2 linked regions of the Struthio camelus genome follow. The protein of the gene in region 2 purifies or fractionates together with the protein of the main gene of each other region. This does not show direct contact. Links are inferred from orthologs where the notes say so. Each region holds a gene or a part of one and is shown on either strand. Other genes may lie near its edges.

The links. The genes of interacting proteins can lie anywhere in the genome.
Region 1: the proteins of SRC (region 2) and PXN purify together in Homo sapiens (co-immunoprecipitation; 4 studies listed by BioGRID and IntAct, with this or other methods). This does not show direct contact. The link is inferred for Struthio camelus from reciprocal best matches to the Homo sapiens genes SRC and PXN.

What each region holds. Positions count from the first base shown.
Region 1 is NC_090958.1:7,822,791-7,833,191, forward strand, and holds the start of PXN (paxillin), read right to left. Parts: upstream 4,109-10,401; 5' UTR 4,094-4,108; coding exon 4,056-4,093; exon of another isoform or gene 3,027-4,055; coding exon 2,854-3,026; exon of another isoform or gene 2,732-2,853; intron 2,455-2,731; exon of another isoform or gene 2,314-2,454; intron 1,888-2,313; exon of another isoform or gene 1,747-1,887; intron 212-1,746; coding exon 98-211; intron 1-97. Other genes in the region: SIRT4 (NAD-dependent protein lipoamidase sirtuin-4, mitochondrial), read left to right, coding at 5,708-5,719, 6,111-6,610, 7,383-7,677, 8,834-8,986. UniProt on the Homo sapiens protein: Cytoskeletal protein involved in actin-membrane attachment at sites of cell adhesion to the extracellular matrix (focal adhesion). Recruits other proteins such as TRIM15 to focal adhesion.
Region 2 is NC_090959.1:7,546,768-7,556,798, forward strand, and holds the start of SRC (proto-oncogene tyrosine-protein kinase Src), read left to right. Parts: upstream 1-5,042; 5' UTR 5,043-5,069; coding exon 5,070-5,147; intron 5,148-6,565; exon of another isoform or gene 6,566-6,645; intron 6,646-7,225; exon of another isoform or gene 7,226-7,385; coding exon of another isoform or gene 7,386-7,436; intron 7,437-10,031. UniProt on the Homo sapiens protein: Non-receptor protein tyrosine kinase which is activated following engagement of many different classes of cellular receptors including immune response receptors, integrins and other adhesion receptors, receptor protein tyrosine kinases, G protein-coupled receptors as well as cytokine receptors.

The sequences.
Region 1 (10,401 bases), on a different chromosome or scaffold from region 2:
AGTGTTAGGAAAAGCACCCTCACCTGCAGCAAGCTGAACCTACGTCAGAGAACAGCTATGAAGCTAGGCTGACCTGTAAGGCGCGTTCAGAGCTCACCTGCGCGCTTTCCACAGCGACCCGAAACTGCAGAGCGATGAGAACGACTTCTTTGCAGTCTGCGTCCTCTGTGCTTCGCCACAGGAACATCATGCAAGGGGGATGTCGCTGTTTCTTCAGGTGAATGCATGAAAGAAAATGCCATACATCAAGTCTAAATGCTTCCATTAGCTTAAGGAAAAGGCAGTGAACCTAGACGTGCAACCCCCCGCCTCACCCCACAAATTCCGACCGCTACACGTTTGTCGGAAGGATCTCGTACGGCAAAAGGAACGCGCTTGGTTTCTAGCATAAAATGTAGGACAAGATTTAGTACTACAGAACAAAGGAACCACTCCAGCCTATTGTCACAGATACAGCTTCATCCGAAGAGAAAAGAAGCAATCAGGTAATAAATGCCATATTTAATGCTATTTGTATGAACCAAGTAATTACATGAACTGTATTACTCACTGTAAACGACAGAGGCCTTTCGTGTTTATTCTGGGAAAGGGTGATGGCATCCCTACACGTGGATTATGAATTCACATTGCTATAGCAATTAAGTGCAGATATGGGGACAAATGCAGTCTAGGAGGTTTCATTAGTCATCCTGTGGCCACTCTCGAGTATAATGCCCCAGCATAGGTGAATATTACAAATACTTAATATTAAGTATTATATTAATATTAATATTTGCTACTAAATATTAATATTTGCTACTAAATTTTCCGCTTTCAAATACCGATAATTTATTCAGTTATCAATAGTGGTAGTTTAAAACAGCTGCCTAGCTCAGGGTCATACGGGCAGGGTATGAGCATCCTGGTGGCACGTACAACCGGAGACCTTTGGAGGTAACTTGTCAGCAGCATAAAAGCTGCGTCTAATTCACACGAAGTGACAGAGAGCAGCTGCTTTCAGCCTCAGCGCCAGGGTTCGGCCTGGGGAGCTGGTGGACAATGGTCATTGGTCCCCCTCCGCAGGGGCTACTGAGGTATTAAATAAGACAACAGCTGCAGCTTAGAAATAGATGGGGTTTACTTAATTTCAAAAAGAGGATTTTACACTAAACTCAGCAGCTGCTTTTTTCCAGAGTAAAGGTTTAAGATTTCTTTGACAGTGAGGAGTCTTCTTTTAAAAAAAATAATAAAAAATAAAGAAAAGCATGTGATGCCGATGGATCTATACAGTAATGAGCCGTTGCACAAAACGATGCTGCGCACTGAACGCGGTTCCCCAATGCGTGCCGGAGCGTTTCGGGAGCCAGTCAAGCACGATTTGGACCGGCAGCTCCCCCCAAGAGCGCTCTGCTCAAGGAGCCCGCTCAGCAGGAGCCAGGGCAGAGGCACCCGCCGGCACCCCACTCCCTCCGCTCCCGTTTTCACGGATCAATTCCTCTTTCAGCACCTTTGAAAGGGAAGGCAAGAACTGGGCTTTTTATGCAAACGCGCCCTCGATTTATCATTAAAACATGTTTTTGGCTGGGGCAGACCCCGGCTGCGGCGAGAGGGAACAAAAGCCCTTGTGTCATCGCACACACAGTAAACCTTTGTGGCGCTGATGAGGTCGCAGGGCGCTTTCTCAGGAGCGCTTCCCCCCCAGGCCACGACACGAGGACAACCCCTGTCGTGCATTCCTTTCCTCTGTCTTTCCACACCAAAACTCAGTCTCCGTAGAGACTGTCAAAAATTGCCAATGCCGACTATATTTCAAGTCGTCATGGCGGGGTATTGGGAAAAGTTTTCAATTAGCAATAATCGCGCCTCGGATTAACCTCATTGGCTACGATACTGCCACTGCGCAAAGCTGACTCTCTCCTCCCGCCGCCGCCGCCCCTCGCCCCGCCGCCGCCTCCCAGCTCACGGCGAGCCCCGCCGCCCCCGCGCCCCGCCGCCCCGCGCCGCCCCGCGCCTCGCCGCCGCCCCCCGAGCCCCGCCGCGCCCCCACGCCCCCGCCGCGCGGAGGAGAGCCCCGTTTTCCCCGCAGTGCCGACCGGCGGGGCGGCCGCGGAGGTTGCTGGGAAAGAGTATGCAAAGCAGCGTGACGTCAGGCGGCCGGTGCGTATGGCGCGCGGCGGGACGCCAGGCGGGCGGCAGGGCGCGCCCAGACCGCGCCGTGCCCGGACCGCGCCTCGGAGCCGCAGCCCCGCCCCCCCCCTCCCCCGTATTCCCTCTTCCTCCCCAAACTCCGCTTCCCCTGTTCCAACACTCTGTCATTAAACCACGTGAAACCAGCCTCCGAAGAGGCCCTCAAAAATTGCCGGTGGCAACTATATTGCAAGCCGCCACGGCGGGGTATTGGGAAAAGTTTTCAACTAGCAATAATCGCGCCTCGGATTCACCTCATCGGCTACGATACTGCCACTGCGCAAAGCTGCCCGCCCTCCCCCGCCGCCAGCGGCCGCCCCCGCCGCCCCACCCCGCCGCTCAGAGCGCGCCGCCGCCCCGCCGCCCCGCGCCGCCCGCCGCGCGCCCCCGCGCGCCGCCGCCCCCGCGCGCCCCCCCCGCCGCGCGCCACCGCCCCGGGAGGGGCGCCGGGGGCGGCCCCGCGGCGCGGCGCGGCGGCGGCGGCGCGCAGGGGGTGCCGGGAGGGCGCGAAATGCAAATGACGGAACTATGCAAATGAGAGGGGCGGGGCGAGGGGGCTCCCCCCGGGAGGGGACCGCGGCGGCTCGGCCAGGGCCTGCCGGCAGCCCCCTCCACCCCACAGCGCTCTGAAAACGCATCGAAACTCTTCAAATAAGCACTAACGACCTAAAGTCCATTCAGACTCACGCGGCGGCTGAAAGGCCGTGGTTAAGGGCCCGCGGCGGCCCCGGCCCTCCCCGGGAGCAGGGCGCGTAGCAGCGGGCAAAGCCGGCGCCGCGCAAGCGGGACGCGCTTCTCCTTTGCGATCACAAAATCCCAGGGATGCAGAAAGCCTTGGGCTCCTCCGTGCTTTGAAGTAACTGCAAAGGCAAGAAAAGTGGATTAAAACCTCGCCCCATCTGGAGGATGCTCGTGGAAAGCGCTCCAGGTTATCAGAAAGACCCGCCGGGTGCAACGCGGCGGACTATCCCGTGCTGGGCTGCTGCAGGACAGCCGTCTGCACTTCCCCCTTCTAGCTCATTCTTTAAAAACCTGAAAAAATAACCCCCTGTGCCAGTCGAGTCATGGTTTATCACGTGCATGTCAAGACTGAAAGGTTGTGCCAGTGCCCCGCTGCGAACCCGACCCCAACCACTGGCCACGTGCAGCTGCCCGTGGCCGGGGTAAGCGTCTCACACGGTGTCAGCTCTTGAAGTTCAGATGGGAACCAGCAGCTGAATGGAAGAAAAAATGCCTCCATTTACGCCACGCGGAGGGGAAGCGGACCTTATCTCCAGACCCTCATAACCCCAGCAGGGCGACTTGAAAGGCCTTCCAAAAAAGGAACAAAAACACCCCCAAAAGAAACATCGAAAGAAAACAACAAAAACCCTCTACTGCCGCTGTTTTCAGGGTCTAGGGAACACAGTTTCCTGTGGGAATAGCTCAACAAGCTGGCCAGAAAAAAATGTCACCATCTCAATAACCTGCCGCTTTCCAGCAAGACACCAGCATTCCCGCAAACTGTGGAGAAACAACGGGCAGGGGACATCGCTGCCCAGCAAAAGCCAGCAGTGAAACCCAAGCAGTTTGCTCGCCAGAGAACAAGGAAACAGCTTTTATGGGAACCGCGGCAGCATCCCCAGCAGCACCATCGTCTCCGTATAGGCTGGCTGCAGAAGGTGACAATCAGCAGAGTGACAAGCAGGTCAGGCCAGCAACGGGGCGAGCCCGCGAGGGAGGTAGGGAACCGACAAGCCCTTTGGTGGCAAAGGGTTTCATGTCAAAGCGCTTCAGGGCGTCTAAGGAAGGTGCCCGGGGAGAGGCCCAACGAGATGAAAGACAGACGCCTGCCCCCTTTTTCATCCACGCCTCCTCTGAAAGCAGCGTGGGGATCACCTGTCACACACCGGCCTCTTGGGGGTCGTCTGGCCGCACTGTAACGCATAACCGACCGGATTTTCCTTATTCGTCCATCCTTGCTGCCGGGGGCCCTTCCCCTGGCTTTTCCCCCCAACTTTTTTCCCCATCATTCCCAATGTGCTCAGCAGAAGACCAGTCCACCCTCCCGGTACGCTACGGGCCGGGGCCCGAGTGCAGGCGCCGAAGGGCGAGGGGCAAGCGCGGCCCCAGCAATTCACACCCCCGGGAGTTCTGGAACCGGAAGAGCCATCGTCTTCAACAGCCCACAGCGGACTTTGCTCCTGTTATTTGTTCTGACACTTTCTGAAACCAAAGGCTGGCAGGTTAGCATCAGTGAAGGGAAGCTGCCTGCGTTCGGGTGTCTACAGCGCACTTTATCAAAGCTAGTCCCTACGTAGCAAATACTGCTGTGATTTCCTTCTTGTTTGTTGCTTTGAGGGCAGCTGTGAAGCGTTTAGCTTTTTCACATTTCACTTTCTTATGACATTTCAGGAAGGTTTTTTTTCCCCCCCCTCCTCTTTGAAGCATGGGAACTGTAGTCTTCCTGCTGTAGGCTTTAATTTCTTGCTGAACTACATTTCCCAGAACACTACTCTTCCGGTAGGTCCTCTCTTCTCTTCAGAGGTCCCCCACGGCAGCATTATGAAAGGTAAGTTTTCAGGCCCTGTTCACTATATCTTCTTCCATTAAGCGTGTTCAGTTTGACTGTTGCCCCTTTTCGCCTGCAGTCATTACTGCAGCAAAAGAGATTCGGATGACCTGGGTACACCTCTGATTTTCTGGCCTGAAATCATTTATAGAAACTTGTTTGTTTTCTACCTTAAACTGGACCGATCTCTTTCTGTAAAAGATTTTGGATGTGTGTTAAAAACAAACGCTAGCTTGGATCTTGATAAGTATATTAAAGGTTTTTTTTTTTAATCCGAGCACCTTCATTTTAAAAGAAGCCTCATGTTTTGCATCATGCGTTCTGTCATTTTTAAGTTTTTCTCTTAGTCTGTCCTACTTCCTTGCTTCACAGCACCTTTCAAATGTATCTGGTATTTTTGCTGCTGTGCCTAATACCGCCTTCTCTCTCCTGCCGGCCAATCCAAATTATGTCTGCATTTCAGTCCCCTTCAAAACATTTTCTTCCGAGAGCTCTTTTGATGATAAGTGACAGAAATGGAGAATTTCCATCAGTGCAAGCAATTTAAACACTGTCAAACTGGCTTAACAGCCTTTTGGGAGGATCACAACAGATGTTATTCTCAAAGCACGCTAACGTTTCCCAATAAACTGTGTCCCTTTTAATTAATTCACATGGAAAATTAAACCTCTTCAGAAGAAAGGCCAAACACAACTAATGCTAAACATGAAAACAAAACAAAAATCACTGAGAATAAAATTCACTGATTAGATTACAACAAATGATTCAGAACTGTAGAGGAAGTCCTACCAGACTAAGCCCTCCTGTGGAGCTTAGGTTTCGCGAAGAATCAATCTGTTCTGGAAAATGCTGAGGTGGCTGTGTTGTTGCTTTCCACAGGAGAGGCCGAGGATGGGGTAAACTGAAAAGACTGATTTGGAGCAGGCAATGCGTTAGAGACAGTAGAGCAAGAGTCTCCTCTGTGGAGGAATCGGAGGCACCAGCCGCACAATGCCTGCAGGGGTGAGGTACTTGCCCTCCCTGCTCTGTCCTCTCTGCCTATTGCACGTCCCTGGAAAAGCCCTGCACAGGTCCATCTGTGCTCTTTAGGAGTCCTCTGAGGCCTTCACAGCAGGGATGGAGAGCAGGAACCCTGCGAGTCAGGGGTGCTAGCTCTGTCCTTGCACCATGGGAAGGCCTCGGTGTTACCCCCTGCAACGGGCGCATAGGAACATTGTCCTCCTGCAGTAAGCTTTCAGTAACATTTTCAAAATACTTTGGAATTCTTTACTGAAAGACAAAATAGGACAAAGAACACTTATCAGTATTATTTGCCAGAGTATCCCAAGGAAAGGGAATTAAGGACATGCTCTTTGCTTTCTTTTACCTGTGTTCTGTTCTTTACTTTTAGCAGAAGATGTTCTCTGCCAGGAAGTTGTCAGGAGGTTGCAGAGCCATCAGACTTCATTTCCGATCCCATGTTGTATCCAGAACCTCTCCCAACTTGACTTTCGTGCCAGAGTGTCTCCCCCCGGATCCCGTGGAAGTCGAGGAGCTGCAGCACTTTGTTTCCAAGTCCAAGAGGCTCTTTGTAATGACTGGAGCTGGAGTCTCGACTGAATCAGGGATCCCAGATTACCGCTCTGAAGGCGTCGGGCTCTACGCAAGGACAGACAGGCGGCCCATCCAGCACACCGAGTTTGTCCGCAGTGCCAGTGCCCGGCAGCGGTACTGGGCAAGGAACTTCGTGGGCTGGCCCCAGTTCTCCTCCCACCAGCCGAACGCAGCACACCTGGTGCTAAGAGACTGGGAGAAGCTGGGAAAGCTGCACTGGCTGGTGACCCAGAACGTGGATGCCCTTCACACCAAAGCTGGGAGCCAGCGCATGACAGAACTGCACGGCTGCACGCACAGGTACTCTCCGTGGTAGAGAGGACGGTTAACGCTCTGGTGTCTTGTTGGGGTTAAGAAGCAGCAAGTGCAGCCGTAGCTGCTGAGCCAGGAGGCAAAACGTAGATGTGCAGTGTTACTGGAGGTGACATGCTTGAAGGTGCTGGGCTGGGGGTGCAGAAAAGGGTCACGCATCAGTGCTGCTCACAGCAGAGTATTTAATAAGCATGAACAGCATCCCATTTTTTTGGAGCACTTTTTGGATCATTTCCCTTAGTGGCTGGGTCAGTCAGAATCTCACCTTTCCTTGCTAAAGCAAATATCCTTTGCTCAGGTGAAGAGGAGGATCCTGAGGATGCAAGGAATAATTACCTGGGCTGAGCAGAGCGGGTAGTGCCAGAAAAACAGAGGGTGGGTGTACTGGAGAGGGGCCACCACGGTCTGCTTGTGATTGCCCAAAGTTTCCACATGAAAAGGCACAGAGTGACTGCAAGAGAGGAGGCACAGCAGGCTTCCTCTAGAGCATCCCTGCAAAGCAACAAGTTCTGGAGGTGGGGACCACTGCCTGGCTGGCATGGGTTGGTTTCTTTCTGAGGTGTAATTATATATATATTTTTTCTTCTATAAAGCTCTTCATTTGATTGTCTCAACTAGAGGTAGACAGACAGTCCACTGACCTGTGCCATTTGGTGGATAAGTGCGGACAGTAACAACAGGCCATCCAACCAACAGCTTACTGACTCCAGAGGCTCAGCTGACATGAAGCTCTCGGTTAAGACTTTGTTCTGCACTTTAGGGTTTTCTGCCTGGGCTGTGGAGACCAAACCTTGCGCTCTGAGCTGCAGGTGCACTTTGAAGCTCTGAACCCTACCTGGAAAGCTGAAGCGCTTGGTGTGGCTCCCGATGGAGATGTCTTCCTGACAGACGAGCAGGTGCGTAATTTCCAAGTGCCAGCCTGCAGTAAATGTGGTGGAATCCTGAAGCCTGACGTGACGTTCTTTGGAGACACAGTGAGCCGGGAGAAAGTGAATTTTGTGCACCAACGCCTGGCGGAATCAGACTCCGTGCTGGTGGCAGGATCCTCCATGCAGGTAACCGGACGTTCCTCCCATACTGGATTCTCTTTCTGTGCTACTCTGCCTGCAGCAGTCCTTGGTCCCACAATATGGGACTACTGCTTGCAGACAGGTGGATCTACAGCCTCTCCAGAGCTTCTTGGTATTTTTACTGGCCTTGGAATCTGGCTTCACAGTTGCTCTGTTTGGGCTTCCCTGTCACTCCAGTGCTGATCTCCTTGAAGCTGCTATAAATAACTCCGTTCACACACTCTGACCTCTCCCTGCAGTCCTCTCTATCGCTATATAGGTCCACAGTTGCCTGCAGAGCCAGGATACCTGACACAATCCAGCCCTGTATAGATCACCACCCCACATTTCTTTGCTTGAGCTTTTCGCCTTTGGCAGCTTCTTAGGCCTCGCGGCATGCTGTGTAAAATACCAGATTTTAGGACCTCTAATTCCTAACTAAACTGCTGAAGCAGAAGACAACAGGAAATCTCTGCTTGTCACTTAGGACTGTCCTTTCTTTCACAGTCTTTCTCCATTAGCCACGTCTTATCTATAAGATAAGGTGGTCTAAAAACCTCTGTTGTTTAACCTGGGGAAGTTTCTGGAACACAGTTTGTGTAATTGATATTTTCTGGAAGCAAGGTTCTATTACAAAATGCTAATGTACATTAAGAAAAACTACTCTAATGCCTCCCAGAACAAGATAAAAACCAAGTCCTGTTGTGATTCTCTTGGCTTCAGGATACTAGGGGACAAATTCCTTGAGCCTGCTCTCCTTGAGCTCATAATCCTTTGTACAGGAATGACTGAAATGCCTCAGGTTCGTTCTTGTACTTCCTAAGCTGGACCACGTGAGACCCATCAAAGTAGAAGCATTTAAGTACCTATGGTAACTAATAAAAGCCGGTGCGGAGATTTACTGAAAGACAAGGACATTTTCCTTCAATGTACGTATTTGCTGTGGTAAAACCCTTCACTGACATAGGTTAAAAGCTGCTGTTCTTTTCTGTGCACGCCTGAATAAAGACATTTCCTGCTGGAATTAAGTGCAGTCACATAACACAGCATGTATATACTGCCCTTTTCCCCAATACCAACAACAAATTTGCTTTCATTATTCCTTTCTGTAGCTTTTCTTTTTCTATTCTGCTGATCATTTTGTCTCTGTGTCTTCATGCAGGTATACTCTGGTTACAGGTTTGCTCTTGCTGCCCGGGAGAAGAAGCTGCCAATTGTGATACTTAACATTGGGCCCACCAGGTTAGATCACTTTGCATCCCTGAAACTGAATTCCCGCTGTGGGGAGCTGCTGCCTTTGATTGACATACACTGACCCAAGAAGCTGAGGATCAGTGGCTTTCAGGAGTAAAATTTTTACAAGGTGAGTACCTGCCCTGCTTAGTCACCTTGCAGGGTAAGGAGATCAGCCCTGTTCAAATACCCATCAAATGCCGAGCCATCTTGCCAGGAAAGAGACTGAGATGTGCCGACGAAAAATATGTTCCGATAACGGGCATCAAAACTTGCCTGTAAGTTTTCATCTGTAACTGGTACGCTCTGCTGGGCGATGATGCTGCTTCCTGTGATCATAAACAAAAAGCATATGCATTTGCTTGGGTACAAACGCCCACAAAAAATTGGGCAAGGGAAGCCAGAAAACTCAGCAGTGTCGCAATCGCATCCATTTCTCACAATCAGAAAACTACATGGGATAAGCTGCAGACTCAGAGTGCCAGATTAGCACTGTTGCCATTACATGCTACAGTCTGTCTTTGTAATACACAGATTCATTAAGGTCTGTTAAGTTGCTGTGACTCTTATTGATGATTTGAAAGCTGTGCCTGGTTGAACTAATCCAGCTAATCAGAACACTGCTGTTTAAAATATCCAGTTCCATCTATAAAGCAGCTTCTTCCCTCCACTCCTGCAGGACCCATCATCTCAAAAGCGGAAATACTTCAACCTAAGAGGCAGCTGTGAAATCCAATGCATAGCCCCTGAGGAGACCAGGAGAGGGCAGCAAGCCTCGCGCATGCCAACCTGACCGGTTTTCTGCATTGAAATCATCCCCGCTTAGGCTTACCAGGGAACCGAGGGATGGTGAAAAAGCTTCTCTCTCTCTCTCTCTTTTTTTTTTTTAACTCCTTCCTTACCCTGCCATTGTAAAGTGCCTTTTATTTGCATTCACTGAGACAGAATGACCAGAATTCTGTTCTGTATCTGGAACAATACTTTTCTTATAATTGTCCCAAGAGAAGAATGAGGGATGGAGAGTTCAAGTAACTTGACAAGTTAGAAGAGCACAGGAGGGCGATGGCACACCACTCTGTCAGCTGGGGGATCCACTGACACTATCAGGCGACTGCAGGGCCTGCAGAGAGCAAAAGGAGGCAAGAGGACCCGCAGGCTTTGACTTGGGAGTAGACTGCAATAGAAAACATGGTTCAAAAGAGAAGCTGAACAAGAACAGCCCTCTTTTAAGAGATGCTTGGAAAGCACAGAATACATGGCTGACGCCTTCCAGCAAGGAGGGGAAGCAGCACTTGTCCCCATTGTCAGCTGGCCAATTAAGCTAGTCACTATCTGAACCCTTTAAAAATAATATACTGTTGAGATGCCAAAGGAGTTTTTCCTAGCTAATCTGACCAGAGCTGCTTTCGGTGTGGCTGCTACATTTTCTAGAATGCACTTTTGAATACGTTATTCTATTAATGAACAGTTCAATGGTGAAATAAAATTGTTTACAAG
Region 2 (10,031 bases):
ATATGGTTTAAATTTTACAGACTCAGACTTTGGCTTCCTTAGCCCATCCCTCGCTCAAAGGACCAACACTGAATGATGAGTGGGAACCACCCTTGTGTCTGTTGGAGCTCCATTTGGCACAGGCTGCAGTCACTAATGTGACTGCGAGCAGCCCTGCCCTCGCAGGAACAGCGCCCCGGGGACTTCTCTGCTGTCTGAGGAATGCTACAGCCCAATCTGCTCTGCACACACACCCCCTTGTGCTCCAGGGGAAGGTCAAGTTGATGCGGCTACAAGAGCTTTGAACTACCCAGTGATTCCTGCACTCGGGAGGAATCCCCAGCTGCTCTGTTAGCAAAGCAGCTGGAAAGAAAGGCTATAAATCTCGTCTGTACAGTTTTCCATGGGCTTTTCTGAACTGCTCGTTTCTGTTGACACTAAGACTGGCCAAAAAGCAGAATTTCTACCACTAGGAAATGCCGATGTTTTGTTTGTGGCTTTTCTTCTAAACTGAGGCAAAAAGTGAAAAGTGTAGAATTTTTGTCTGAATGAGCTATTCCGAAATACCTAATTCTATTCTGATCAAAATGTTATATTTTATCAGATATAAAGCGGACATGAAATGCTGTGACTGTATTGAACGTATAGGTAATTGCCTTCCAAAGCTGTTGAAGAACTCTGGGGCTTCTCCCCAAACATTTACATTCCACTAAGTGAGTGTTTTCCAGCCACCCATTCCCCGAGGGAATTTTGCACTGACACTACCGGACTTGTGCAGCTTCAGAGCTGGGGTAAGAGCCTGTTTCGCCTTCCCCCAGCCGACGGACGTGGCAGACTGTCGCCACACCGAAGGGCACGGCAGGTCTTGAGCTGCCACCCGCCCACCGACCCCTTTCCTCCACCCGCCCACTGACCCCTTTCCTGAGCGATGTCCTGAGTCCACTTGGTGACTTCCTTTCAACTGCCCTTTTTTATCATACAGCCCACCAGACGTTGGCAAGCAGTTCTTGTCGCTCTGCTCTTGCGGACCTGATGCTCAGTGCAGGAGAGAATGGCCAGAATCAGATTCTGCGACGAAATATTGCCAAATGGCTTGTACTGCAAGAGCTATTCTCCTCAATTCCCCCTAGTAAATCAGCCCCATAGCTCATAACTGCGGCTTTCCTAATGGATCTGGTCGTTCTCATCGTTTGCTGTCGCACACGCTCACTATTTGCAAGACTGTAAAGTTCAATGATCGTAAATTCTTAGGGAAAGAGCCGTTCCCGCTTCTGCCTCTGCCCAGCAGCTTGAACACAACTGTTCTATTATTAAGAGTAATAATTCGGGCAAATGTGTTTGGATTTTGCAGTGAATAAAATGCAAGTGGCCTCAGGAACAGGATCCATTAAACAAAACTCATTCACGCTTGCCAAGGAGATGCTTAAAAATAAATCTGTTTGGAGATGAATAGATGTTTTGTCGCAAAGCCACAGCTACAGTTTGAGGTCAGGACACAGATCGATTATTGGGCCCCAAAAGCATCCTCTTGCTTTACAAGAAGATTTTCCGAGTCTCGCGGAGCAATTCGATGTGGCTCATGCCGCGTTTTGAGGACCTCCCCGCTGAGGGGCAGGGTGCCGCCGCGCAGCCCCGGCCGGCTGGGAGAAGCGGGGAGCCTCCGGCCCCGCTGCGGCGCGCTGCAGCACGGCGCACGTAGGGCCTTAGACATCAGCCGGGGAGCTCTCTCCGCCGATGTTGACGTACATCAACGGCTACCGGTGATGTGTACACCTGACGGCAGTAACAAAGAAACCATATACTTATTTACTCCATTAACCTGACAGCGCTCTGGGTATAGTGATTGTCATTCTTTTTTTTTTTTTTTCCTGCTAAAGATCAGCAGGAAAGCAGGAAAATGCCTATGCACATCTTAAAATGATATTCTAACAAGCGATCAAGATGTGCTGTAATAAGCGAGACAGCAGAAATATCCAGTGATGCTTTTTAAATTTGCCGGTGACTTTTTATCTCTGTTTCAGCCTCGCTCTATAACCCTTCTCCCCTCTCCAGTACGGGTTTGATTGGTGCTGTTTAAAAGCGAACGGAAATAAAACATCTCAAGAAAAAAAGTTTCAGGTAAGACATTAAAACCCTGGGTTGGGTAAGAAGGATCTTGTTTTAGACTGTTTAATGAAAAATATTTTGACGGCAGTTGTCCTTCAGTCTCAGGAGTTTGAGTCTGATTCAAGAAAGCACTCAAGTGTGTTGAGTTGCTTAAACTCGAATGAGTTTAAATTGCATTATCGCCAATACCGGGTGTTTAATGTCAGTGTTGCGAGGGCACATTCCTGAATCAGAGCCCAGAAGATAAGGGGCTGGTTTTTGAGGGTATCTCTTTGCCATTCTAGATTTGCCCGTTGGTGTCTTCATCGAAGGAGCGACTGTGCCGCGGCTTTGGTACAGCGTGTTCGAAGGCACAGGGCTTTCTGCTGTTCGCCTTTGAGCGACTGGCCGGCCCCGCCAGAGATGCAAAACGCGATTGTGGGACAGCCCGCAGGAAAGGAGTTGATTGCAAAAGAGGAAAACAAAATCCAAATATGTATAAGTCATCATTGCATCTCAGCTTTGGGTCTGGATCCGGCAGAGGCTGAGTTCAACCGGTTCCCCCAGGGCCTGGGGCCGAGCCCGTCGCTCTCCCCGGGGCGCTGTTACCTGCCGGAGCAGCTCCCCGGGACTTGCCGGCGGCCGCCGGAGCGGGCGGGAGAGGAGCGCGTCCCCGGGCCTTCGCGCAGCCCGCCGTACCGCCAGGCAAGGAGCGAGCAGGCGCGCTGAACCGCAGCCCCTCGCTCTCCAGCAACCGCCCGCCGCTGCCGAGCGCCTGCCGGTGCCCGGCCCTCCGAGGCGCTGGGAGGGAAAGGGCTGGGCTTTTCCGGCCAAGCGCAGCTCCTACGGGGCCTTATCAGCCGAGGCGCTCCTGCCAGGGCAGGGCCCCGCGCGGCGCGGGCCGGGGTGATGGAGCCGCGGGGTGCGTGACTCCTCGTTCCTGGTGACTCATGGATTCGCTGGCCTTCAGCCGTGTCATGGGAAATATTTGTTTAATAACTTAACAAGAACAAGGCGGGGGGGGGGGCAGCCACATTGTTTTCTGAAACTCGTTAGCTTTTCAGATCGTTTCTACAGGGTCAGATCTCGCTGGGACTTGCGGCGTTTTCGAAAAGCCCCTCCTCGGTGGCTGCAAGGGCTGGCGGGGAGGGCTGGCCGGCGGGGCCACAGGCGGGCGGTTGGCTGCAGCGACCCAGCCAGCGGATTACTGTAGTCCGCCGCCGACCGAGCGCGCCTCATAAAACAGCGACACGGGTGGCAACCGACTGCTTCACCCAATTTCTTCCCGCAGGATAAAGTGACAGGGAACGATTCAGCGGGCTGCTAACGGGAGCTGGGGGAGGGCTGAGGCAGCGCTGCCCGGCAGCCTCGACGCCCGCCGCGGCGCCAGCAGGCCCCTGGGCAGGGGCCCAGAGCGCGGCGGGGCGCGGGCTCCGCGGCGCTCCCCCCGGCCCGGCCCGGCCCGGCCCCGCGGCCGCCTCGCGGAAGGGGCGCTGCTCGGGGCCGGGGGAAGCGCCGGGAGACTCCTCAAAACCCTCGCCGGGAGGAAGGTACTGATGAACGTGTTTCGGGCAAGCGAACGGAGGGAGCGGCGGGGCAACGGTCGCCTTCGTGCTGCGCGTTCGGCCCTCCGCTTCCCCTTAGCCGCTCGGCAGCACTTCTGCTCCAGGCGGGCCACTTCTCCAGGGCAGGAGGAACCGGCGCCGACTGAGAGCGGGGGCCTTCCCCACCACCCGTCGCCACCGTCCCCGCCGCGGCTGAGCCCGGCCGCGTTGCTCCAGCCTGCGAATTGGGGTGGCGGATCGCGCGACGGAGACGAGGACAGCCGCGCTGCCACCACCGCCGAGGGCGTAACCTGCGGCGGCCCAGGCGCTGCCACCCTCCCTGTCGGCCCGTCCCGGAGCCGGCGAGGACGGACGAGGCAGAGCGGCGCCCCGCTCGCGCGCGCCCGCCCGCCCACCCGCCGCTCCGGCCGCCCTCGCCGCTCCCCCAGGGCCTTACGGCCACACGTGGACTGGCTTTCTCTCTGCCTTTTTTTCTACGCTAAAGTTTTGCCACCTTTTAAAATATCAGGAGGACGGATTTTAAGCCGTCCTGCTATCGCCAGGCGTCTCTGCCGAGGATGAAGGGCTTAGGCGCGAGCGCGGAGCTGTGACAAAACAGCTTCGCTCCCCGCTATGTGCTGTTTGTTAGAATTGCCTAATAAAGCGAAGGGAAAATAGCCAGATTTTGACCACTCTGAAAACCCCTTGTCTCTCCGTCACCAGCTCTGGTTCCCGGTAATACGCTAGCGCTGGCAGCCCCGCCGCGGAGGGGCAGCCCGGAGGGCGAGGCGAAAGGCCCGGGCGAAGCCCCTCGCCGCGCCGCGCCGCCTCTGGGGCCCCGCGGCCCGGGCCGCCGCCGCCGCCCCCCCGGGGGGCCGGGGGCGCTGCCCCTGGCGTGACCGGCGGCGCCGCGCCCGCTCCGCGCCCGCGCAGCCCGGCTGCCCGCAGCCTTCTCCCTTTAAAAAAAAAAAAAAAAAAAAAAAAAACCACCACCCGAGGGGAGGGGCTGCTGCTTTTTTTTTCCCCTCCTATAAAGCCGTTTCCGGTTTGCTGCCATATTCCTCTTCCCCCCCCCCCCCCCCCGTGGGTCGTCCCCCCCCCCCCCCAACCAGAGAAGGGGTGAGCGGGGGCGGGCGAGGGAGCAGCGCGCCGGATCCGCGGCGCTCCGCGGTGCTGCCGGCGGCGCAGCCCTGAGCAGCCGGCCCGGCCCGGCCCGGCTCGGCGCGGAGCGCAGCGGAGCAGAGCGGCGCGGGGCTGCGGCGGCGGCGGCGGCGGCCCGGGCACCAGAGCGGCGGCGGCGGGTGGCGGCGGCGGCCGCGCCCCCGGCGCGGAGACAAAGCGGGGCCGAGCACGCGCCGAGGTGAGCGGGCTCCGGCGGCGGCGGCGGCGGCGGGGGGATGTCCGCAGTCCGGCTCGGGGGTCCGGCTGGAGACGCCGGGGCGGCGGCGGGGTCCGGCCGGGATGCTGCCGCTGCGGCCGGTGGCTCTGTGTCCGGCTGCGGATGGCCAGGTCCCTCCGGGCGGCTCTGGGTCCGGCCAGGTCGGGCGGCTGGCTATGGGTCTAGCTAGGTCTGGTCAGGTCCGGCGGGGTGCTTGTAGGTCCAGCTGGATCTGGGCGGCTCCGTCTGGGCGCCTCGGGGTCTGGGCAGGTCCGATGGGGCGGCTGTGGGTGCAGCTGGGCATGTCCAGGTCCATCTGGGCAGCTATGGGTCGGGCCACATCTGGCTGGGCGGCTGTGGGTCTGGCCAGGTCCGAGAGGACGGCTGTGGGGTCCAGGCAAGCTGCACCGCCTGCCCGCGATCCCCTTTGTTGTGTTTGGGGGCTGCGGGGGACCCCCGGGAGCGCAGGGCGGGGAGAGCGGGCTGTATGTAGGCCAGGACATGAAATATTCATCACCCCCCCTGCTTTGATGTCTCTTGATCCACTTCCCTCGTAGCGTTTGTTCACCGGTAATTCTGGGGGTCATGTCCAGCTCTGACGGACCCGGAGGACCCTGTTAGGCCAAGGCTGTTTTCTGTGCCCTTTCTCCTGGGCTGCCTGGGATCAGCCTGGTAGGAAGCTGCAGGGCCCTGGATTGCCTGATTAAAGGCTTTATCCAGCCTGGAAGTTCCCCTGTTGCAGCCGGGGTGATGCACCCCGATGGGCGTCTGCGAGCAGCTACGCTGCTGCGTCCCCACCGTCTCTATGACAGCCCCTGGCGCCACGGGAAAGCGCCGTAGCCCCGGGTGCCCGAGCCAAGCTGGAGCCGGGGTGGGCTTTCCTCCTTGCCTCGCTGCCTGCCATGCCGGGGAGGTGCCCACCGGCCGCGCTGCCGGGTCGCGGTGGGATGCGGGGCTCCCGCGCGTGCCGGCCGCAGGGCGAGCTGCGGGGCTGGGGCCCGCGGGAAGCGAGGCGCGCGTGGGGCGAAGGAGGACGCGGCGTGTCTGGGCGCTGACTGTGGCGTGCTCGTGTCTGGTACCGAACGGTCTCTCGGAGAACTTTTGTGCAGCCTCCTGCAAAATCATTTCCGCTGCGTTTCTGCTGCGTTTCTGCGTGCGCTTCGCCGGCCGCGTGCCTTGCGCTCTTCCCCCGTCACCCTGCCCTTCTCCTGCCTTGTCCCCTCGGCCCTGCTGCACCAGGGCTCAGCCCTGCTGCTGTTGGAGCGGATGTGACCGTCGGTCCCCGTGCTGGCCCCCTCCCTCCGTTGCTGTGAGAAGTCTTAGGGCTTCTGAAGCCGCTCCTGCTGGGGTGTTGTGACCCGTTATTGCGGTCATCCTTGAGGTCCTGTCCCCATGCGCCGCGCGAGCTCTGGCTTGTGCCTGGGGACGGCGCTACCTGCGCAGCGGGAAAGGGACAGGAAAGCACACGTTCAGCAGCGCTGCGTGCAAACCCAGCCGCGCGAGCCTGGCAGGGAAAGGGTTGGTGGGGGTTTTCTCCCTCCTCCCAGCCTGGTGCTCCCCAGAGGAGAAGGTGTAGAACAGGCAGGAAGCTGAAGCGTGTGTGCAGCTTTTCTCTAACCTGCTGAGGTGCCCGCAGGCAGCAGTGACTAGCGCCCAGGCGTGAGTACTAGGTCATGACAAACTCCCAGAGACCAGCGCTCGATGCTGGGAAAGCCGCTCGTCTCTGCCAAGCTCCGAGTTCCCCGCCGGCCCGCGGTGACTCTACGAGTGCCGAAGCCCCCGCGTAGGGCACGGGGCGGGCTCGGACCTGGGCTGGCCGCGCTCTCCTGGGGAGGCGTGAGGGCCGCAGACGGCTTTGCCGGCGCGTGCCCCCCACCAGAGATGTGACTGTTTGGGATCTCCGGGATCAGGCGTGTGTGCTCCCTCCCGAGGGAATTGTCTCTGCAGTCCTGAGCTCGTTTTTCAGAGGAGGGCACCTTTGCTTACAATACAGGGGTCAGTGTCCACCTCCAGGTTTTGACCCGGGAGTCCGAGAGCAGAGACTCACCCTTTCACCTTACAGTCAGTAGCTCCACTGAAACGCAGCCTGGTGATTTGGGAGCCTGGGTTATTTATGGGCTGACACAGTCGCTCAGGGAAGTCCAATGTTCCCTGTCTAGATCGTTAGTGGCCTTGCAGTGCTCCCTGTGTGATGGAGATGCTCTAATGATATCTCTGCCCTGTAACGATTTTGTCCCAGAGTGATGGAAAATCATCTAGGTACCGTGGGGAGAGAGAAAGGAGCGTCCAAGTACCGAGCTAGAGAGCTGGGAGGTGGAAGATGAAAGGGAAGAGCTGCAGTTTGCAGCGACCAAAGTACGTGGAGGCTCTGCTGGGGGGACAAGAAGCTCTGTTGCCCCATGGAGGGGACGTCAGCAGTCACGCAGCCTCCCCGAGGCGGGGGCTGGCGGGTATGTATGCACTCTGGACCCCCCAAGGGTTTTGGTTTGTTTTGGGTTTTTTTGCAGAGTCGGCTCTCTGTGCGTCCCTGTGTGCATTTTGGGGGAAGTGGCGTCTGTTCAGTGGGTTCGCCCTGGGCCAGGAAGGCTGGACGGGACCGTGGGGCTCCTGCGCGTCTGAAACCGCGTCGGTCCTTCCTGCTGCGCTAGCTGCTCTGCTGAGATGTTGTCCTTGCCTGCCAATCTCCCCTCGGGGTCCCTGGCTCCCTGTGGCAGTCGCGTTCGTGGGTGGCGTGAGGGCTTTCGGCTCTTTCACGAGGGGTTTGCTCAGCCTGGCTCGCTGGAGCCCTCTGATCCGTCCGAGCGTCGCTTTGCAGGTTTGGCAGCGCAGAAGCGCCAGGAAGGAAAGCTGCCGTGTGGCACCGAGGTGGCAGGAGCCACTTCTGCTCCCCGAGGCGGGTGGTGGCATGGGCTGGGGAGACAGCCCCATCCCCAGGCCCTGCTGGGGCTACCGCCGATAACGGGATTAAGTCTGGCCTTTGAGTCACTCAACTCTTTTCTAATGAGACTTGAAAGACTTGGCCCATAATGTCTTATTTTAACCACCGACAAATACGTGGAGCGAGATAAAAGGTTGAGCAAGCCCTGGGCTGAAGCAAACAACTTCGGCTCCATAATCTTTTAGTCTGTGTTTCCTTGCAGCATGTGTAAGGCAAAAGAAAAAAAGGAAAAAAAAAAAGAGCATTGCTCCTATGAAGTGCTGTGTTCTTGGCATCACTAGGGGAAATTTGAAAGACTATCTAAAGCTCTATTGTTTCCTGTACTGTCTATTTTGCAGCTTGGTTTCTAACTTGTTCCTTTATCTCTCAGAACAATTTCCCATATGACCTCACTTCCTCAGCACTTTGCGTCTCATCTTGGAGCCCGACTGGAAATTCGTCCAGTGCAAAGGGCTGGAAAAGGCTTCGGCTGGTGCGAAACGGCCGGCGCAGAGCGCGCGTGCCCGGACCGTGGGCCGCGATGCTCTGCCCAGGAGCCGTTCCTTTAATTCGATGCCCTAAAACCAGCTTAAATCTCTTTGCGTGGAAATAACCATCCTTGTAATGCTCTTCATGTGACTCGGGCTCAGACTGTCACTGTTTCCATTCCAGCGTAGTCCTGTTTTCTAAGGCTTGTAACTCCGGGTCGTTGAGAATAATTCCCTCTGGGCTCGCGTTTTGCCGAAGTCTCCGACTATGAGCAAAAACGTGGAATGTGTTGTAGTGCTATTTTAAAGCAAGCTTCGGAAAGAAAGTAATGACTTTGGTCCTGGATGTTTTAAGTTGGCGGTGAGCCACGAGATAGTCCGCTTTAGGAGAAAGGAGCAAGTAATTGACTGAGCGTGGCTAAATCAGAGCTGGCTTGAGCCGACGTTCGAGCGTACCCAGGCCCTAATCCTTGCTTTTGCTCCGTGCTGGCCCGACTGCCCGTCGGTGCAAGGCCCCGAGCAGGACTGGGTGCAAAGGGAACCAGCGATGCTCTGCGCCTGCCTCTGTTCAAAGCACGATTTGAAGATAAAGCCCTGAAACAGGCACAAATGTGATTTGAACATAGGCCAGGACCCAGCACCTGCAAATCTGCACCTTGCACTGATTCCTCTTGGGTCTAGGTATGTCCTCACTGTCCCCTACTTCCCACCAGGAAGGGAGGGCGACGCGGGGTCGGGAAGCGAGTCCGGGACGTGCCGGGGGTCGGCGAGGCGGCTGTGCCTGCCCGCTGCGGGTTCCTGGAGCGTGCCTGGCGTCCTGGGCGCGATTCGGGGCGTTGCACCTCGCAGCGCGGAGCCGCGGCCCAGGGGAAGGGGCAGCTCGGGGGCCGGGCTGCGAGCGGCCCGTCCGGGGTGCAGCGCCGGCGGCTCGGGCTGGGCAGCGTCGCCCCGGGGTGCGTCTGTGCTCCGGGGTGCTGGGGCATCGGTGAGGGCTCCCGACGAAGCAGCGCTGCGGTCAGGGGCGATGCAGCGCTGGCAGGGGGCCCGGGGAGGAGAAGCCCCGGGAAAGGGGCACATCTGCGATTTTTTTTCCCCCCCCCTTCTTCTTCAGACCTTCAGGAAATGGGGCTGCGGGCCTGAACGCCGCAGCTGCAGGCTGCCGTGCTTTCATGGGGAGATGCGATAAGCGGCCGAAGGACCCACAGCCTTGCGTGAGCGGTCCGAGAGCTTATCTCGGGGCTGTTCCCGGGTGAAAAGGTTTGGATCTAGGGGAGGAAGATGAGGAACCACAACGCTGCGGACCACAGCCGGCGGTGATGCTGTCCCGCGTGTACAGTCCCTCTGGACCCGTGCCCACGGCCGCTCACCACCCTGCGTCCCGGCGGCTGGGTCTCTCACAGCCCGCTTAGGGCTAAGCCCTGCGTGGGCACCAGCTGCCTGCCGTGCCCGGACCTCGCGGGCCGCGTGCGGAGGTGCCGGGTCACCCCGAGGCCTGGCTGGCCCCGCTGCCGCGGGAAAGCACGTGAGAACCGGGATAGGCACGGGGCGATGCTTCCCTGCTCGGCTCCCTGCCACGCGCGCTGGCGGCGGCTGGCTGCCTCGCTCCGCCGCCCGCGAGCCAAGAGCCTTCCAGCGACGAA